Arabidopsis thaliana: one gene and its partner. The protein of the gene in region 1 interacts with the protein of each later gene in a pairwise test. Each region holds a gene or a part of one and is shown on either strand. Other genes may lie near its edges.

Region 1 (5,102 bases):
TGTGAGCATAAAGTACATTGGTATAAATACATTACGATATAGCTACTCATACTTATTAAGGACCTCTCTATACGTGTAAGAAATTGCAGTATATTTCCTGAAACATGGTGAAAAATGAATGCCTCAAGTCTGAAATGAAAATGACAGTGATGTAGACGTGGAAAAGTATTAAGAGTGATTTTTTATCAATTAACTTTGATTCACAAAACTTATGATTAAGTTTCAAACGTAAAATGTAAAATGTAAAATGCTACACAATTTATGATGGATATGAAGAACAGTTGTCAAAGACTCAAAGTAGCTTATTTAAACTACTAAAACCACATATGATTAAATGGGGTTGGGTTTGGGCCGAATCGGGCTTGTTGCTTGTTCTATACACTATTCAAAGCCATTTGGATAAAACATCCATCTTCGTCACAACTGTTTGTTAAACATCCATTTGGTGGTGTGTCACGTCCTTCCATCTGATCAACAATGGGTTTGTAGTCTTCTGGCAGACCCCCGAGAATGTAATCAACTTGATCTTCATGGTCAATGATTTTGCCAATTAATGCCAACTGATCAAATCGATTGATAAAGCCTTGAACGTACTCGTCGATGGTGCGGGTGTCTTTCTTCCATTGTTTGATTTGGTGTTGGAGCTGTTTGATATGGCCACGACTCGGTTTGGCATAGGTACCAGCAAGAGTGGCCCAAACATCAGCAGAGGTAGCGGCGCGGGACACCGTTGGTTGGACGGTGAGAGAGAGAGTGCCGATGAGAGCACTGAAGATCAATTGATCTTGTCTACTCCAGGCTTCATACTCAGGATTCACAGAGGCAACGTCGTTGACGGTAATCTCACGAGCTGGAGCAGCTTTTGTCGCATCAAGGTATTGAGTGAGACCGTAGCCGTGAAGGAGAGCGTGGACTTGGCGGCTCCACATTATGTAATTGGAGGCCGTAAGTTTTGTCACATTCGACATGTTCATGTGAACAATGGAGGTGTTGTTGAGGTTGACGGTTTCAGAAGAAACATTCGACATGGTTGAAGTTTGAAAAACAGAGGAATAAAAAAATCAACGGGGGAGAAGAAGAAAGAAAGGAGAGAGGCGGCTGTTTTTAGGTTTTTTATTTTTAGGTATCGATGATGCTCTGATACCATATAAAGAATATAGAATTGGATGATTTGTATTGAGATGATTTACATTGTTTATATACAGACTAGATGTTCTAGAGACTTCTAATTACAGAATATATAGTTTACATAAGTAGAATTGTGATTGATCTTGATTGATCCTTGATAGATTCGTCACAACTGTTCTCACTACATACTTCTGCGTGTTAGAAAAAGCTAAGCTCAACCAATTAAATGGCTGAGTCTTTTCACAAAATCTTAGTTAACAGTTCGGACACAAATCTATCTTCGGTATTTTTAGTTTGCCAAAAAAAAAAAGTTTCCTATATCATTAACAATCCGTTAAAAATTGTCGATTGATAATTTTAACATTTCTAGCTAAACTAGTCAATTCGTATTTTGTAGTAAACCAATCTCCAGATCATTGCTACTCACATCATCATCGTCTTGTACTTCAGCATGGACGGTTTCGTCTTCCGAATGGCTTTTGTCGGCTGCAGCGGAGGTAAGTTCCTCTGCCCGCTTCACTTGATGAGACCAGTCCGTACGGATTAACGTATAAAGCATCATTACCAAACACGTCATCTGCGCAGATAACAGTCCAAACCATAGCCCACGAAACCCAACCTTAAACCCAAACGTGGTCGTAACTGCCACAGGCAAGCCCACAATGTAGAATGCGCATAGGTTAACGCGTGCTCCATCTTTAGGCCTAGCCGTCCCAGTCAAGACTCCGCAAGCAGCCGTCTGTGGCGAGTTTCCAATCTCGCAAAGCCCCAAGATCGGAAGCGCAGCCGAAATAAGCCCGAGAATCTCCGGTTCGTCCGTGAACATCTTTCCCCAAACCGACCTAAGCGCGGTCACAAAAACAGCAGCTGCTAAACCGTACGCTACCGCGAGTATCAAGCCAATCACGGTCGTACATTGTGCCCGTGTTGGTTGGCCGCCTCCAAGAGCGTGACCTACACGGGTTGCAATGGCGCTGCTAATAGCAAACGGGACTACGTATAGTATCCCGGTGGTCTGAATCAATATTCCCATGGCGGCCACGCTTGCTTTAGGGTTCCCAAGAAGCCCACAAAGAAAAAGCATGATCTCATACCACCAATACTCCAAACACACCGAGATAGCGCTTGGTGCGGCTAGAGAAAGCAGCGGCCACCAGCCGCGGAAAAGTGACCGCAAAGCGAGCCCTTCCCACGGTTTGATTAGAGAATCCGAGAAGCACGTATAAACGAGCAGTCCCACGTCGATATTCATAGTGTTGAAAGCCATTGCGATGGCCACACCCTTAACGCCTAAACGCATACGCACGACAAAGACGTAGTTGAAGAGAGGATGAAGAAGAATGGATACAATGGCAGATATCGTGAGCGGTGATGTTAAGCCTTGCGTTCTAAGGAACGTTCGAAGCGGATGGAGCATGGCCTGAGCCAAGAGCTCAGGGACGAAGAAGAGCATATAGGTTTTGGCTACCTTGGTAATATCTGGGTCCTGACCCAACCGTAGGAAAATGGGTTCGATGTTGAGCCACGTAACGGCGATTGGAACAGAGACGACAATTAAGAGACAGAACATTTTCTGAAACGTGTGGCTAAGTACGGTCCAACGTTTGGCTCCGAAGGCTTGGCCACAGATTGGGTCCATACCAACGGAAAGGCCTTTAAGTACGGAGACTCCAGTGATGTTTCCAAAGCCCATAGCGAGTGCACCACCAGCGAGTTCGACTTTTCCGAGATGACTCAAGAACCACATTGAGATTATTGATCTTGAGAATATGAGGAGTGATGTCATCACAATCGGGCAAGCTATTTTTGTGAGTGACGCCATCTCCTCTCCCACCTGCATGGGAAAAATAAAATTAAAAAATTATGTTATTTTTGTTAGGTTTTTCAATTGAACAACTCTTTATTTTTTCACATGTTCTATAGGCTTCTAGTTCTAGCAAAACGCACTCGAGAAGATATTAGTGTATAGAAAGAGCGCAACACGAGTATGTTGTATATTAAAAAAAAAAAAATTATCCTCAAAATATGATTTAGTCTTTAATATCCTTTTTTAATCATGTTTAATATTTTGTACGTGATTTAATTTCGTTTAATTAACGATATTGCACTCACTAAAAATATTAAATTTTCTGGTATATCATTTATTAATATTTTTATCACAATAAACAAACAAATTTCTTTTCTAATAAGTTGTATGAAAATGGTATTTATATGAGCTTTTTATACATGAGTTATTAAAAAAATCATTGTACCTTAATTGTTTCTTTTTGTCAAATAAAATCTTAAATTAATTTTATTGTGAAACAGAAGGACATTACATTACAATACGGAAAATGATATTTTATCATATTATAAAATTAAGAACAATTTGTAAGCACGAGGAAGATGGTCGCATCACATGGCCACTGGGACTGGGATGAGAAAGTTGAAAAAGGAAGAGAAAAAGGTTTAAACTCTATAACTTTTAGAACTGAATATATAATCAAATTCACAAGTGCCAGAAAAGCGAATGGCTAACTGTACCAACATTCTAGGATCTTTTTAAATAAAAATCATCATGGGTTTTTAAAAGCTCACCTTTTTTGTTTTCTTTTTGAAAAAACAAAATCAGCTTAGATATTACCTTTCATTTCATGATATCTTCATTAAGAATATCCACATTTTAAAAACATATAAAAAATATTTTACGCATAGATACTTGTAAAAGTATCATGAACTACTATTGACATTTCATAAACAATCGGATAAGGATTTCAAGAAAATAAATCGGAAAGTAACTAGATTATATTTGTACTAAGTAAAGAAACTGATAAAAAGAATAGAGTGAGAGGAAACCTATATAGAACACTTTCCTAAGTAAGTACAACCCAACTGTCAAGAAATATAAAGTAAGTACAACACAAAAAGCATCTCTTTCAGTCCATGAAAGTGAGGATTTATCATACTAGTAGTAAGTAGTAACGCTTTAGGCATAAATATGAACATATATACACATATATATATATATATATATATACAGAGAAAACTTATATATAAATGAATTTTCAACATTGTATTTCTCAAGTACGTGAAAGATAGATGAAGCATTATTCATGCTATGTTTTTAAAAGGGATGCATTATATTCGGTTAAAATGCTATAAAAACAGTCAAAAGAAGCATTCAATCCAGTATAAGATCAATTTCCAAGAACTACATATTATTTACCAGACCCAAAAAATACTGCGAAAGTGACTGAAAACAATATAATAATCCATCAAAAATCACCAAATTCTCTGGTTAAACGTAGCAAACGTCTCTATATTAGGATGGTCCTGATCACGAAAACTAGTAGTACAAACAAAAACACAAGAAAACTATGAAATCAAAGAATAAGCAGAGTGATGACTTGTCAAAGCTAATTGGAATTTTTTTGTTGAAGAAAATGTAAGAACAAGAAAAGAGAAATTAAAGAAAAAGAAACAAGCCTCATTGAAAGGGATGCGACGGAGACCAGCAGAGAATTTGGCGCTGCCGCTATTTTCTCCTTTGACGGATGTTGAAACATCGCATTCTCCATTTATAATCTCTCCAGATTCACTGCTTTCCATGTTAGACCTGCACATGCTCATATATATTTGTATATACTATATACTATATATCACACTTCTTCACTTATATCAAAGAGATTTATATGTTGGTGACTACGAAAAAAGGGTTGCCATAGAAGCTAGCTACGAGTTTGTGTGTGTGAGAGAGACAGTGAGAGAGAAGAAGAATGTCTTAAGTTCCCCTCGTATTTATGTACGCTTCCTTAGTCGTCCACTCTAATTAATTTCATATTTACTCGTCTTTTCCTTATTTTTTTGAACTATTTTTTTTTTTTTTTTTTTAAAGTTTTTTTTATTGGGAACATCTGTTTCTTCGTTTATATATGTAGCCAGTTGAGTTTTTGTATTAATAAAAAATTCCACATAGTCAGTCTCTTAGACTGAAC
Region 2 (4,960 bases), on another chromosome or scaffold:
TTTAAGTTGTGTTCTTCTACACCTCCTTATTGTACACTTTCGTAATCTTAACCGTGCGATTCTTTTGGCTGACCTAATCTGACGGTTATAATTTATCATCGAGCAGCTAAACGGAATAATAATGGCACTGTTTTGTAAAATTTCCAAAGTTATGAAGTCAGAACTGTACTTTCGTAGCTGACGTGTATATTTCCTTTATTTTTGAATTCTGACTTTCCATTTTTTTATTAATTGACATTTTTTATCCAGTTTGATCCAAAAAAAAATGATGTAGGTTTTTTTTTCCCATAATAGGAGTACAAACTAATAGGTAAAATTAACAAATTTAAATGTATAAATGGCCTTTGGGGTTGTTTAAGTAATGATTAAGATGGTATTATTGGTGGACTTTTGGGGAAGATAAAGATAAGATATGCCTTCTTCATCACGCCCTGGCTTGGTCTAAACACGATTAACGCGTTGTCAAGATTTAAGTGGAACTTGGTATCTTATTTTAATAATTCGAAAATTTTATTATTTTAAACTTATGTACTTACGTTCATTTTTTTTCTTCTTATTAAGATCCTAACCAGAAATAGCTCAACCACCCCACATTTTTGCTTATAGTTTTTAACTTCAAGAGATTCGGATTTAAAAAAAAAAAAAATTGTCGTACTGTCCCACGTAAAGATTCAATTTTGTGTGTGACAGATGTAAGTTATACACAATGATTTTCTTCAACTAACTAGATTGAGTTTGTTGGCATGTTTTACTATATATGGTCTCGATTTAAGATGATATAACAAAACAAGATAATTAGTTCAGATAATGTTAAACGTTCAATATCTGCATTTTGAGTTAAGATAATCTCAATATCTGCATTTTGATGTCTACTTTTATTTATAATTTTAGCCAAACTTGCCACACTGGGAAAAACGTTATCAGTTTTGGCACTTTCTTTCTTCTGTTTTCTTGATCTCATTTATACAAAAATGGAGAAGTTCTTATGATCACGTAACCAAAATTTATAATTTAATTCAAACTCTAGATTCTGGATAAGACTAAATCTGTGTAACTTGGGTTACTGATATAGGTTGAATGCACATGGATCTTCCTCATATAAAGACTATATAATATACTTAAATCGTTGACATAGAATCTCATAGAACTTTTCAAAGGGGAAAAGAATCTTAGTGATCCTCCAATTAATAATTCAATTATACTTTGCTCATATTGATCGGTTTAGCCATCATGGCTTTTCAGAGACTTCAATTTTGGATGACAACTTGTTGATCCGAAAGGCAGCAATGCAGAGAGTGATATTACCAAACACCGTTAGTGCTGCCTGAAGAGCGACCAACACCTGATAATGCAGTCCAACAATTACACCATTAAGTAGGAGTGAAGAAGCAAACGAAACATATCACAGACTTATAGCTAAAAGTTGGAGTCAAGAGTTTCTTGACCTCAAGAGATTCATCGTTGTAGAAGAAATGCCATGTGCATGCACAGAGAGCTCCACCAAGCAAAGGTACCTGATTAAGAACAACCAAAAAGCTCAGAAAAATGAAATCATGTAATCTAGGAAAACGGCTTAGAGCTTTCTCACCATTCCCCATGAGAGACCTTTCCAAGACTCATAACCCTTTCTTTCTCCATACTTCCATACCAATGCCATCGCCGTAATCCTTTAGTAAAAACAACACCAGAATTAGAAAGACATTACATTTTTCTTGTTTGTTAGCTCCAACTGCATTTCAAACCATAATGAGAGAAGCTTAATCTACATTGTGAGTGAAAGATCGAGACTTTATATGTAGATGAAGCTTCTCTCATAATGATATCAAAAACTCGAAAAACCCACAACATCAAATACTCTCTTGTGTCACTATAGATCAAATGTCAAATGTTTTCTAAGTGAGAATTTCAATCAATAAAGCAAAGGAAGAAGAAGAGAACCATTCGACAACGCTGGAAACATGAACGGCCCAAGTGGGTAAAGACAACGCATTGGACGGTTCGCTTAGCTGAAGAGAATCCACCACCGCCGCCAAAGCAGTAGCATCTGGTCCCGCCGTGATGAAAGCAGCCGCAACCAAACTGGTTCCGATAAGACCCGACAGCGCAACCGGGTCATGAATTAAACTGCGGCTTCGGATCCGAATTACAGGTTCGTTAGAGGTGGTGAGAGAAGAAGCTGGACGGCTCTCAGAATGAATTCGCCGGAAATTGGGTTTGGCGCAGCAGAAAAGAACGGTGGCTGTTGAAGCAATCGCCATGGCTGAGATTTTTCTCCAATTTCCAATTCCCAAGTTCTGGTTTAATTTTAAACCGGTTTGCTGTTGAACCGTCTTTTATCATTTTCACAAACAAAATTAAACTAATCGGTTTATTAACAAATTCTGGTTTTTCTAATTACTTCCCATCTTTGAAGTTGAAGAGAAAAATATAAAGACAAAATGGAGATTAGTACATTAAAAATCTCAAATTCTGTATTGAATTATTTATATTACAAGAAGAATTTTCCAATTATTTGTAGTACATATATATATGTATAATCAAAATGTGGAGTGAAACAAAATCAAAATGTTAAAATGTGTTACTCTTTTCCTTAGACCAGATCAAAACGAGAGTGAACCCCATCAATGACATTACCACCGTCTGCAAAACAAAACAAAAATCTCTATAATCATCATCAATAAAAGATTATGCTATGTCAAAAGGATATGAGACTTACAGATATAGCAGGAGGAATCCCCACAAGAGGATCTTGAAAGAACTTAGTAGCAAGCGCTAGAGCCAAAAGGCTACTCTGCATTCCTGATATATTCACAAACACATTTCTCTTCTCAAATCTTTAAACCAAATTGTACTTTCTTGATAAGATTTTCCAATACCATAAAGAGTTAGTACCAGTTTCATAGGACAATGTTCTTTGCATGGCTTTAGCGTCTGGAGCGTTTCTAAAGACAGAACCGGTAAGGAAGTATCCAGCGAGGAAAGCTGAGAGATGAAACATTGTTACTAGTAACAATATGGTGGCTCCAAATGGAGACATGACCGAGTTTATGTTCAATGCGAGTGGTGCTCCAACGCAGCAAGCTGTGTCGAGAACCGATAGAATCGGGAGAAATGGTCGGATTGCATTTGATACTTTTGGGAACAACCTGTAAAAGAAGAAACAAAAAGGAGATAAAAATGGTTATACTTAGAGAAACAACTTGTGGTTATTTCTAGTTGTAGGCTTGTAGCTATATCTCTCACTTGTTTAGTAGCAATCCTGCAGCGATTGGTGCGATTACAACCTGAAGAATGCTGGATATCATTCCTTTTACATCAACGGGTAGTTTCTTCCCAATGAGCAGGAGTGATAGCATCGGTGTGACAAGAACCGCAGTAGCGGTTGATAGAGATGTCATGACGATGCTAAGAGGTGCCAATGCTGGATCAGTTAGGAATGTCGCATAGTTTGACAACTGAGCTCCACTAACACATGATACCAACATGATTCCAGCACCTGAGAGATTGAGAAAGATTGGTTAATGTGAGAGATAGGTTAAGAGTCTTGAATGATGAGAGACAGGGAGCTTTTACCAATTGGAGTTGGGAGTTGGAAAAGAGAAACAGCAGCTAGGCCAAAGATGAAACCTAGGACAGGCTTTACGAGATATTGTCCAACATAACCGAGGAGGATAGCTTTTGGTCTTTTGAAAGCTTCAAGAAAGTCTTTCTCGTTTGAATTGATACCAACCGCAAACATCAAAAAACCTAAAGCGGGCACAAAGTACCTAAAATAACAGGAGAGTAAAGAAGAGCTTTTTAGCAAACCTCATGTCTACAATTCAAAGTCTTAGATCAATTTGACCTTGTTCCAATGGGAAGAACCTCGACGTAAACCAAGTGAAAGAAGGAGGATAGATAAGAGCTAATATTGTACTCGCCAACACTACATGAGGAAGAATTGAGTTTGCTTTCTTCATTCTATCCACTATAGAAGGCTTCTCAATAACCTGCAAGCCACTTACTAGATTCATGTTGGTTCTCGGAAGTAACATAAAATTCTTAACAACTGAAATCATCAGCAAACGAAGAACAAAGTAGCAAAACTGTGATCCAGGGATGATTTTTAGCTAATCAGATTCAAAAGTAGGATAATTAACAAGTCTTCAATAGTGCAAAATCACATTTTGACATTAAAGATGACACATTTTGAGAAGACTATTCAAACCCAACATAACATAGAATGGAAAAGGAAAGATCCCATAGCGCACACCTTGAATGGATCAGCTCCAGGATCCAAACCCATCTCCGAGAAATTATCAGATGCATATCTACGCCACAAATTCCTCGATCCGCCAACTGTGTATATAGTAGGTTGAAGAAAACCATGAGAGAAGAAAGTGTAAATTTTGCAGGTACCCAACAAGCATAAACGCCTGAGGATCGATGAGAGTAAGATGAACAAACCTTGAGAGATTGGGTCGATGCGAAGTGGAGAACTCAGAGAAGTGTTCGAGAAGATGTTGGGCGGGAAAACTTGAATCCGTTGACTGCGATAAACAGCTCGTGGTAGAAGACGAAGTGTTGACTTTAGGTGCAGGGTCTCTATTGGAGTTGTGATCACGCTCATTTTTTTTCTTTGGACTTTGTGATCTTTCAGATTCTTCAGAAGAAGTGGCGAAACTCTGAGAGTTCTGGGAAATGGAAGAAAGAGGGAGAGATTCAGAGAATCTGGGACCCGAGAATCTGTCGCATCATCAACCTAACAAAACCCGACCCGACCCAGTTAGAGTTTAAGTTTCTGGAAATGGCCCACTGGGCTTTAAGATAATGTATATTTCAAATTATGATTTTCTTATTTTAAAACTGATATTTGGAATATAATGTGTTGTGTAGTGAGAAAGACGCAATTAATATACTTAAGTTAGGGTAATAAAAAAATCGGTACAAGACTACAAAGCAAAGACACAAATCAAGGAGA

Evidence for each region.
Region 2: the proteins of AT2G38510 (region 1) and AT4G22830 interact in a protein complementation assay, tested with the Arabidopsis thaliana proteins (one large-scale study listed by BioGRID).

What each region holds. Positions count from the first base shown.
Region 1 is NC_003071.7:16,121,851-16,126,952, reverse strand, and holds AT2G38510 (MATE efflux family protein), read right to left. Parts: upstream 2,969-5,102; coding exon 1,508-2,968; 3' UTR 1,418-1,507; downstream 1-1,417.
Region 2 is NC_003075.7:11,989,068-11,994,027, forward strand, and holds AT4G22830 (YCF49-like protein), read right to left. Parts: upstream 2,362-4,960; 5' UTR 2,341-2,361; coding exon 2,235-2,340; coding exon of another isoform or gene 2,177-2,234; coding exon 1,939-2,176; intron 1,668-1,938; coding exon 1,589-1,667; intron 1,515-1,588; coding exon 1,446-1,514; intron 1,343-1,445; coding exon 1,229-1,342; 3' UTR 997-1,228; downstream 1-996. Other genes in the region: AT4G22840 (Sodium Bile acid symporter family), read right to left, coding at 2,569-2,640, 2,717-2,799, 2,893-3,146, 3,244-3,496, 3,574-3,767, 3,865-3,989, 4,253-4,338, 4,447-4,609.